2 linked regions of the Callithrix jacchus genome follow. The protein of the gene in region 2 interacts with the protein of the main gene of each other region in a biochemical or structural test. Links are inferred from orthologs where the notes say so. Each region holds a gene or a part of one and is shown on either strand. Other genes may lie near its edges.

What was found.
Region 1: the proteins of EZR (region 2) and ICAM3 form a complex in vitro, tested with the Homo sapiens proteins (2 studies listed by BioGRID). The link is inferred for Callithrix jacchus from reciprocal best matches to the Homo sapiens genes EZR and ICAM3.

What each region holds. Positions count from the first base shown.
Region 1 is NC_133523.1:9,529,793-9,534,310, forward strand, and holds the start of ICAM3 (intercellular adhesion molecule 3), read right to left. Parts: upstream 3,079-4,518; 5' UTR 3,069-3,078; coding exon 2,993-3,068; intron 2,394-2,992; coding exon 2,127-2,393; intron 1-2,126. UniProt on the Homo sapiens protein: ICAM proteins are ligands for the leukocyte adhesion protein LFA-1 (integrin alpha-L/beta-2). ICAM3 is also a ligand for integrin alpha-D/beta-2. In association with integrin alpha-L/beta-2, contributes to apoptotic neutrophil phagocytosis by macrophages.
Region 2 is NC_133505.1:165,593,008-165,596,812, forward strand, and holds part of EZR (ezrin), read right to left. Parts: intron 3,067-3,805; coding exon 2,792-3,066; intron 2,209-2,791; coding exon 2,125-2,208; intron 1,102-2,124; coding exon 955-1,101; intron 1-954. UniProt on the Homo sapiens protein: Probably involved in connections of major cytoskeletal structures to the plasma membrane. In epithelial cells, required for the formation of microvilli and membrane ruffles on the apical pole. Along with PLEKHG6, required for normal macropinocytosis.

The sequences.
Region 1 (4,518 bases), on a different chromosome or scaffold from region 2:
TCAGGGGGCTAAGGCAGGAGAATCGCTTGAACCTAGGAGGTGGAGGCTGCAGTAGGCTGAGATCATGCCACTGCACTCCAGCCTGGGCGACAAGAGCAAGAGTGTCTCAAAAAAAAAAAAAAAAAAAAAATCAAAAAGTAGGCCAAGCATGGTGGCTCATGCTTATAATCCCAGCACTTTGGGAGGCCAATGCGGGCAGATCACTTAAGGCCAAAAGTTCGAGACCAGCCTGGGCAACATGGTGAAACCTTGTCTCTACTAAAAATACAAAAATTAGCTGGGCAGGGTGATGCACACCCATAGTCCCAGCTACTGAGCAGGCTGAGGCAGGAGAATCTCTTGAACTTGGGAGGTGGAGCTTGCAGTGAGCCAAGATCATGCCAGTGCACCCCTGCCTGGGCAACAGAGTGAGACTCCATCTCCAAAAATAAATAAATAAATAGCCAGGGACAGTGGCTCAAGCCTGTAATCCCAGCTACTGGAGAGATTGAAGTGGGAGGACTGCCTGAGCCCATGAGTTTCAGACCAACTTAGGCAATATAGGAGATCCTGTCTCTAAAAGTGTAAAAAGCATAAATGTAAAAACCTCCATTCACCTACTGGCTGAGAGGGGTACCCCCTTTTTTGGCTTAAGAGACAGGGTCTTGCTTTTTCGTGCAGACTGGAGCACAGTGGTCTAATCATATCTCACTGTAGCCTCAAACTCCTGGGCTCAAGCAATCCTCCCACCTTGGCCTCCGAAGTAGCTGGGACTTCAGGCATGTGCACCATGCCCAGCTAATTTTTTAAAATTTATTTCTGTAGAGACAGGGTGTCCCTGTGTTGCTCAGGCTGGTCTTAAATTCCTGGGCTCAGGCCGGGCGCAGTGGCTCAAACCTGTAATCCCAGCACTTTGCGAGGCCAAGGCGGGTGGATCACGAGGTCAAGAGATCAAGACCATCCTGGTCAACATGGTGAAACCCCGTCTCTACTAAAAATACAAAAAATTAGCTGGGCATGGTGGCGCGTGCCTGTAATCCCAGCTACTCAGGAGGCTGAGGCAGGAGAATTGCCTGAACCCAGGAGGCGGAGGTTGCGGTGAGCCGAGATCGCGCCATTGCACTCCAGCCTCGGTAACAAGAGCGAAACTCTGTCTCAAAAAAAAAAAAAAAAAAAAAAATTCCTGGGCTCAAGCAGTGCTCCCACCTTGGCCTCCCAAAATGTTGGGATTATAGGCATGAGCTACTGCACCTGGCCAGCACATACTGAAAAATGCTTGTTGGGATGCTGGGCAATGTGGCTTATGCCTGTAATCCCAGCACGTTGGGAGGCTGAGTCAGGTGGACCACCTGAGGTCAGGAGTTCAGGACTAGCCTGGCCAATATGGTGAAACCCCATCTCTACTAAAAATACAAAATTAGCCGGGTGTGGGGGAGTGCACCTGTAATCCCAGCTACATGGGAGGCTGAGGTAGGAGAATCACTTGAACCCAGGAGGTGGAGGTTGCAGTGAGCTGAGATCGCCCCACTGCACTCCAACCTGGGCAAAAAGAGCCAAACTCCATCTCAAAAAAAAAAAAAAAGAAAAAACTTGTTGGGGCAGAAGTTGATTGATTTCACAACTGCTGCCTTGGCATGAGATTGAATGTGTCTCTGCGTCTCTGTGTGTCTCTCTCTTTGTTTTTTTTGTTGTTTGTTTGTCTGAGATGGAGTCTTGCTCTGTTGCCCAGGCTGGAGGGCAGTGGCAGGATCTTGGCTCACTGCAACCTTTGCCTTCCGGGTTCAAGTGATTCTCTGCCTCATCCTCCCAAGTAGATTAGATTACAGGCGCCTGTCACCATGCCCGGCTAATTTTTTTGTATTTTTAGTAGAGATGGGGTTTTACCATCTTGGCCATGTTGTTCTTGAACTCATAACCTCGTGATACACCCGTCTCAGCCTCCCAAAGTGCTGGGATTACAGGCATGAGCCACCACACCCAGCCTTCTCTCTGTCTTTGTATCCCACACACAAATATCCAGGTCTGAGCTCTGGGTCAGAGCCCTAGTCCATTCTTTGCACACTAAGGGCCCCTACTCTCCCGAGCCATTGGCCTCCTGCCCGCACCACTGCCAGAGAACCGTCCCACCTCTGGACACATTGACTCACTGTAGACGGTGATGCCAGTGGAGCCTATTATCTGCGAACCATTGCAGTACCCTGAGCAGAGGATCCGGCTGTTGCCAGTCACGTTGCTGACCCGGTGGGCTGCCCAGCCCGTGCCGTTGTCCACCAGCTCCTTTGACAGGGATGTCTCCAAGGTGACCTGCTCAGCACTGGGACAGTCAGTACTGCAGTTCACCAACAGGGAACCTCCAGCAGGAAGCACTGGATTCTGGGGCTCCACCCGCAACAGGAACTCCTGCCCCTGGACACCTTCAGGAACACGAAGAAGTCCTGGTGGTGGTTTCCTTGCCCCACAACCCTAGCACCAGCAGGTCCCACCATTTAACACCACTTTCCTTGAGCTGAGAAAGAAGGGTTCCTGCCCTCATGGTCCATGGGGAAAGGCAGGATCCATCAGGGACCAGGGAGAACTCAGAAGGAGGTCAGAAGAGGCTCTGATCCGGCATAGGAAGAGGTGAGTCAAGGAAGGCTTCCTGGAGGAGGGGGACCATGCCAGCCTGAAACTGAAGGCTAAGTAGGAGTTAGCAAGTGAAAGGAAAGGGTGATCCTGGCAGAGGGAACCACATACGCAAAGGGCAAATGTCTGGAGTTCAGATGGAGCAGGAAGTGTGGGGGGTGTGTGTGTGTGTTGGGGGAGAGGGGTGTCGTACAAGCCGCATGCTGGGGCCTGACCACCTGAAGGCTGAACTAAGGAACCAGAACTTTCCCCTGAAGATACAGGGCCAGCAGCCAGGGCACAGTGTGGCAGGATGCGAAGAGGATTGCTTTCTCTTTCTTCACCCTCTACTGATCCCAAAACCCAGCCCTCCCCAGCCCTCCCCAGCCCTCCCTGGCTTGACTGGCCTCACCTGGGGTCAGCAGACAGCAGACCAGCAGAGTCCAGCAGGCCCGGAGCCACGACACGGCAGGTATCATGGTGGCCATTCTGACAGAGGAAGGTGCCTTCTTGTGCTGAAGGGCAGACGGGGGGGGGGGGGGGGGGCGCTCCCACCGCAAGAGGAAGCACACAGCACAGCGGTTAAGATTGCAGAAGTCTGGGGGCTGCACCTTGCCCAGGCCTTTGGTTAGAAGGGGATGCTTGGCCTGGAAGGCTAGGGTGGGGGACCCAGACAGGGCCCAGCAAAGTGGCCAGCACTGCTGTCTCTCCCAGGGACAGGGCTGGCCTCAGTTGCATTTTTGGCCCCAGTTCAATTCACAGGAAATGCTAAGTAAACTGGCTTCCTATGTTCTCAGCACTGGGGAGCCTGGGGTAGGAGGGGGATGAGACACCTCCTTCCGGTTGAACTTAGGTGGGGAGGGGAAAATGTGGTCCCCAGAGAGGAAATTAGTGGGGAAACCTGCCAGCACCATTGTTTAGGCGATAAGGCGGGATTTTGAGGCAACATCAAAAAACAAAAACAAAAAAAAACACCCAGAAACAGGCTATTGCAGTTTTGGCCCGACTGGTCTTGAACTCCTGGCCTCAAGCGATCCTCCCATTTTTCTTTTTTTTTTTTTGAGACAGAGTTTCCTCTGTTGCCCAGGCTGGAGTGCAGTGGTGCAACCGTGGCTCACTGCAGCCTTCACCTCCTGGTTCAAGTGATTCCCCTGCCTCAGCCTCCTGAGTAGCTGGGATTACAGGCATGCACCACCACACCTAGCTATTTTTTTTTTTTTTTTTTTTTAAGTAAAGACAGGGTTTCACCATGTTGGCCAGACTGGTGTCGAACTCCTGACCTCAAATGATCTGCCCGCCTTGGCCTCCCAAGGTTCTGGGATTACAGGCATGAGCCACTGTGCACGGCTGATCCTCCCATCTTGACCCCAAAAAGTGTTGGGATTACAGGCTTGAGCCACCTCGCCTGGCCACCTTTGAAGATCTTGGGGACACCTCCCTATCTTGAAGATCTTGGGGACCCCCATCCCCTGCACAAAGAGAGGAGGCACATGTTTTGGGGACAGCTGAGTCCCTGAGCCACTGTCGTTCCAGGATTCTCCTTGGTTTTTGTTTTGTTTTGAGACAGGGTCTCACTCTGTCACCCAGGCTGGAGTGCAGTGGTGGGATGTTGGCTCACTACAGCCTCTGCCTCCCAGGTTCAAGCGATTCTCCTGCCTCGGCCTCCCGAGTAGCTGGGACTACAGGTGTGCACCACTATGCACGGCTAATTTTTGCACTTTTTGGTAGAGATGGGATTTCACCATGTTGGCCAGGCTGTTCTTGAACTCCTAACCTCAAGGGATCCACCTGCCTTGGCCTCCAAAGGGATTACATGCCTGAGCCACCTCACCCTGCCTTCCAGAATTCTATTTGTAACTGGACTTTACTCCATCCCATTGCCCCCTTGCTCACCCCTCCAGGCAGCTGGTCACTTCATTCCAAGGGTAGGCACCAATG
Region 2 (3,805 bases):
CTCAAGTAGAAAGTAGGAACCCAGGTCAAAAGGCGGGGCTTGGCAAAAAGACTGTAGGAGCTTTTTTGTCCTCCTCTGCCAGGTCCCTGAAGCTGGCGGCCATCAGAGGGTTTGTTTAGGACTATCCACAGTCAGCAGAGCAATCAGGCTGACTGGACAATCAGGGCAGAGACAGGAGTCAGGAGGCAGTCAGGAACCTCTCCCTTCTCTTTCCAGAGGTAGTTTCCTTGGGCCTCTTAAATTCAGATAGCTTCTGATCAGATCAGTCTAGAAGCTAGGGCCTATGCTGATGTCAGGGACTCACTAGGGGGAAACTTGCCCTCATGAACTAGGATGATTTTCCCGTTTATCCTCAGCAGAAAGGTGGCAAATGCACTGTATCTGAAAGAGGACTGTCTGTCCCCTGCGGAGAGGCTGGGCTCTGCTGCTCTACCCAGCTTGCTCACAAATCTCTCAACAAATTTAACTAATGCAAGGCAATTCAGGTATCTCCTGCAGACTCCCGGCATTTAGCTCAAGTGTAAACAACAGCCTGTATGTGTAGACAACACTTCAAGTCTCTCATCACACCATAAATATACCTGGTTGGATTAGCATAAACCTCTAGCCAGGAGTCCGGAACCTGGGAAGTAGTTACGATGGATGTGCTGGTACCTGCATGTAGGTGCTAGGCGGGGGGGGACCTCAAAGGCAGGAGGAGGAGAGGCAGCCTCTGTTCTATTCTGCCTTCCTCTCCCAGGCCTGAGCCCACTATTGGCCCCACCCACCATGAGACAGGATAAACCATGCCTCTGGACCACCCTCTGAGAGGGCCACAGCAGTCCAAAAGCCCTTAAAGATTCCTACTTTGGGATAGTAAGTTGCTAAATACTTCAAAAATAACCCACAAAATTGCCATTTTGCCATTGTTCCCAGGCCCACCACCCCACCTACTGAAGATAAACGTTAACTCACTTATCATCTTTTTCATAAATATTCAGTCCAAGGGCATCAACTCCAAGCCAAAGGTCTGTTCCTTTCTTGTTTTTTATCTCAAAATAGTTGATTCCATACATTTCCAGGTCCTGAGCAATCTTCAGGTATTCCAACATAGCATTATCTCTGATTGGGGAGGGTGAAACAGGCAGTCATTAGTAGCCCTCAAGATCCAGAACTGTCAAACCTTTCCAGTATTTTTAAATTAAGGCACCCTGTGTAGGATGGGCTCAAAGCTGTGTGCTGCGTGCAGACAGGCAGGGCCCGGGCAGCAGAGCAGTGAGTGGGGGACCCCTGCGGCCCGGAAGCTCTGCCTGGGGTAGACTCTGTGCTGCCCTGGACCCTGACTACCAAACCCCACACGTTCAGGAAGAACTGATTCACACTGGCTTCTCTGACAGGTTTTTAAGTTTTTTTGCTCTGCACAATCCTCCCTTTCTCTTGTCCACATGTCTTCTGGGGCTCCCACCACCCTCCTCATAGGCCGTGAGTTATTTTCCTCCCATAAAGGATGCTTGGGCCAGGCAGGAAACCCTGAAGCACAAAATCTGAGGCGCAAACCACAAACTTCAGAGGCTGAAATAATGCAGAGTTGCAAGACTAGGCCAGAGGTGAGGCTCTAGGATGAGAACACCCAGAATCGGGGATCCAGCCACATCTTACATTAATAGCCCCAAGTCCCTCTCCTCATGCCCAGGTTCTCCGATATCAGGATTTCTCACTTGGGATCCTTTTTCATTTATATATACTTTGTAAGACAACTACCTTCAAACAATGAGCAAACCAGCACCTCTTTGACAGAGAGAGAAAAAAATAATGCTTATTGCAGGTGAACAATGCCCCTCTGACTAAAATGAAGTTTAGAGATAACACATCCTCCAAAGGGAAGGTATAAGCTTTTAGAACCTGAAGGCTTGAGCTAAACTGCTTCCCTGAGCAAGACACCTGGCTTTAAAAAAAAACAAAAACAAATATCTCCCCTGAGAAAAGCCCCATGTTTAGCTCAGTTCCCGCCATGATCTTCACAGGGCACTAAGGCTGGAGCTCAGGCCTGACACAGAGCCCTTTAAAACACTATCGAGTCACAGGAAAAGACAAGCTGGAGAGCACGGAGATGGCCAGATCCCCAGAGCAACACCCAGCACTCACTTGAGCATCCCACGGTGTTCTGCATGCCACACCTGGATCCGGTCTTCCCACTGGTCCCTGGTAAGTTTGTGCTGGTCCATGACTCTGGATTGCAAAAGGAAACAGCACTGTCATCCTTAAGGGCTGTGACAGGCAAGGAAGGAGGCCCACTTACCAACCACAGTCAAATTCTTACTTTCCATTCAATCAATCAACCCTAAAGAGCTTTGGTTTCTATTTCCTGATGTGTAGCATTTCTATTTATGATGATTAACTTGGAAGACTTAGCATTTTGAATAAGAACTCATTTCTGCTGGAAAAACTAAGAAGGTATTTTAAGCGGCCTCTTCTTCCAAATGGGGCAATTTTTGTGACCATTAGTAAATAAAAGCAGACTTCATAGGGGTCAACCTATCACACCCAGGAGGAGCTAAGCAGTCAGGTTGACAAGTTTGCTATGCTGCTGCATCCCCACAGGATATGGCGGCTCTTTAGTTTCCATGAGGAATGGTAGCTCGCCTTCCCTGGCTATGCTTCAGGTCGGGTCAGTGCCTTAATGAGTAGAGTCCCAGCATGAAGGAGCACATGACCCTGTCCTTTTGTTTTTAAACTGCTTCTAATGCAATCACTTCTCCCTGCAGCGGATGGCATGACGGCTCCTGCCCAGGCCAGGTCACCCTGTGCTCACCTTTGAGGGATCAGCCGCTCAGAGCTGAGGTACCCAGACTTGTGCACATCTTTGTTGTAGTCCCCAAACTTGGCCTGCACAGCATAGGACCCCAGGAGCACGGCAGTCTCGGGGGGGCAGTAGATCTCGTCGCTAAGGATCCCTTCCTTCACTTGGAGGAAGAAAAGTTTCTGGGTGATGTCCTGGATGAGCTCCTCAGCCACATCTTCAGGGTAGAACTTGGCCCGGAACTTGAACTGGAGGGGATTCTCCTTCCTGACCTCCTGGGCGGACACCTGGACAAAGCAAACCAGACTCTCAACATGAACCGAACCCAGAAGACAAAGGCCCACTGTCCCCAACACAGGCTTCTAACCAAGACTCAATGAGGCCATCAGGCCAGTTTTCAGAAGATAATATTTATTCTTAAAGTCATCTTTTCTGCTCCAGACAAAAAAGGTTAGTCAAAAGTGCTATCACAGGCCAGGCACAGTGGCTAATATCTATAATCTCAGTGCTTTGAGAGGATAAGGCAGGAGGATCACTTGAACCGAGGAGTTGGAGACCAGCCTGGGCAATGTAAAGAGATCCCATCTCAAACATTTTTTTAAAAAGTTAGCTGGGGATGGTGGTGCATGCCTATAGTCCTAGTTACTCAAGGTAACTAGCAGGAGGAACCTTTGAGTCTAGGAGTTCCAGGCTGCAGTGAGCTATGATGGCACCACTGCACCTAGCCTGGGTGACAGAGCAAGACCCTGTCTTTGAAAACAAAACAAAAACAACAACAACAAAAAAACCAGGCTGGGCGCAGTGGCTCACACCTATAATCCCAGCACTTTGGGAAAGCTGAGGCGGGTGGATCATGAGGTTAGGAGATTGAGACCATCCTGGTTAACATGGTGAAACCCCGTCTCGACTAAAAATACAAAAAATTAGCCAGGAGTGGTGGCAGGCACCTGTAGTCTCAGCTACTCGGAAGGCTGAGGCAGGAGAATCACTGGGACTTAGGAGGCAGAGGTTGCAGTGAGCCAAGAT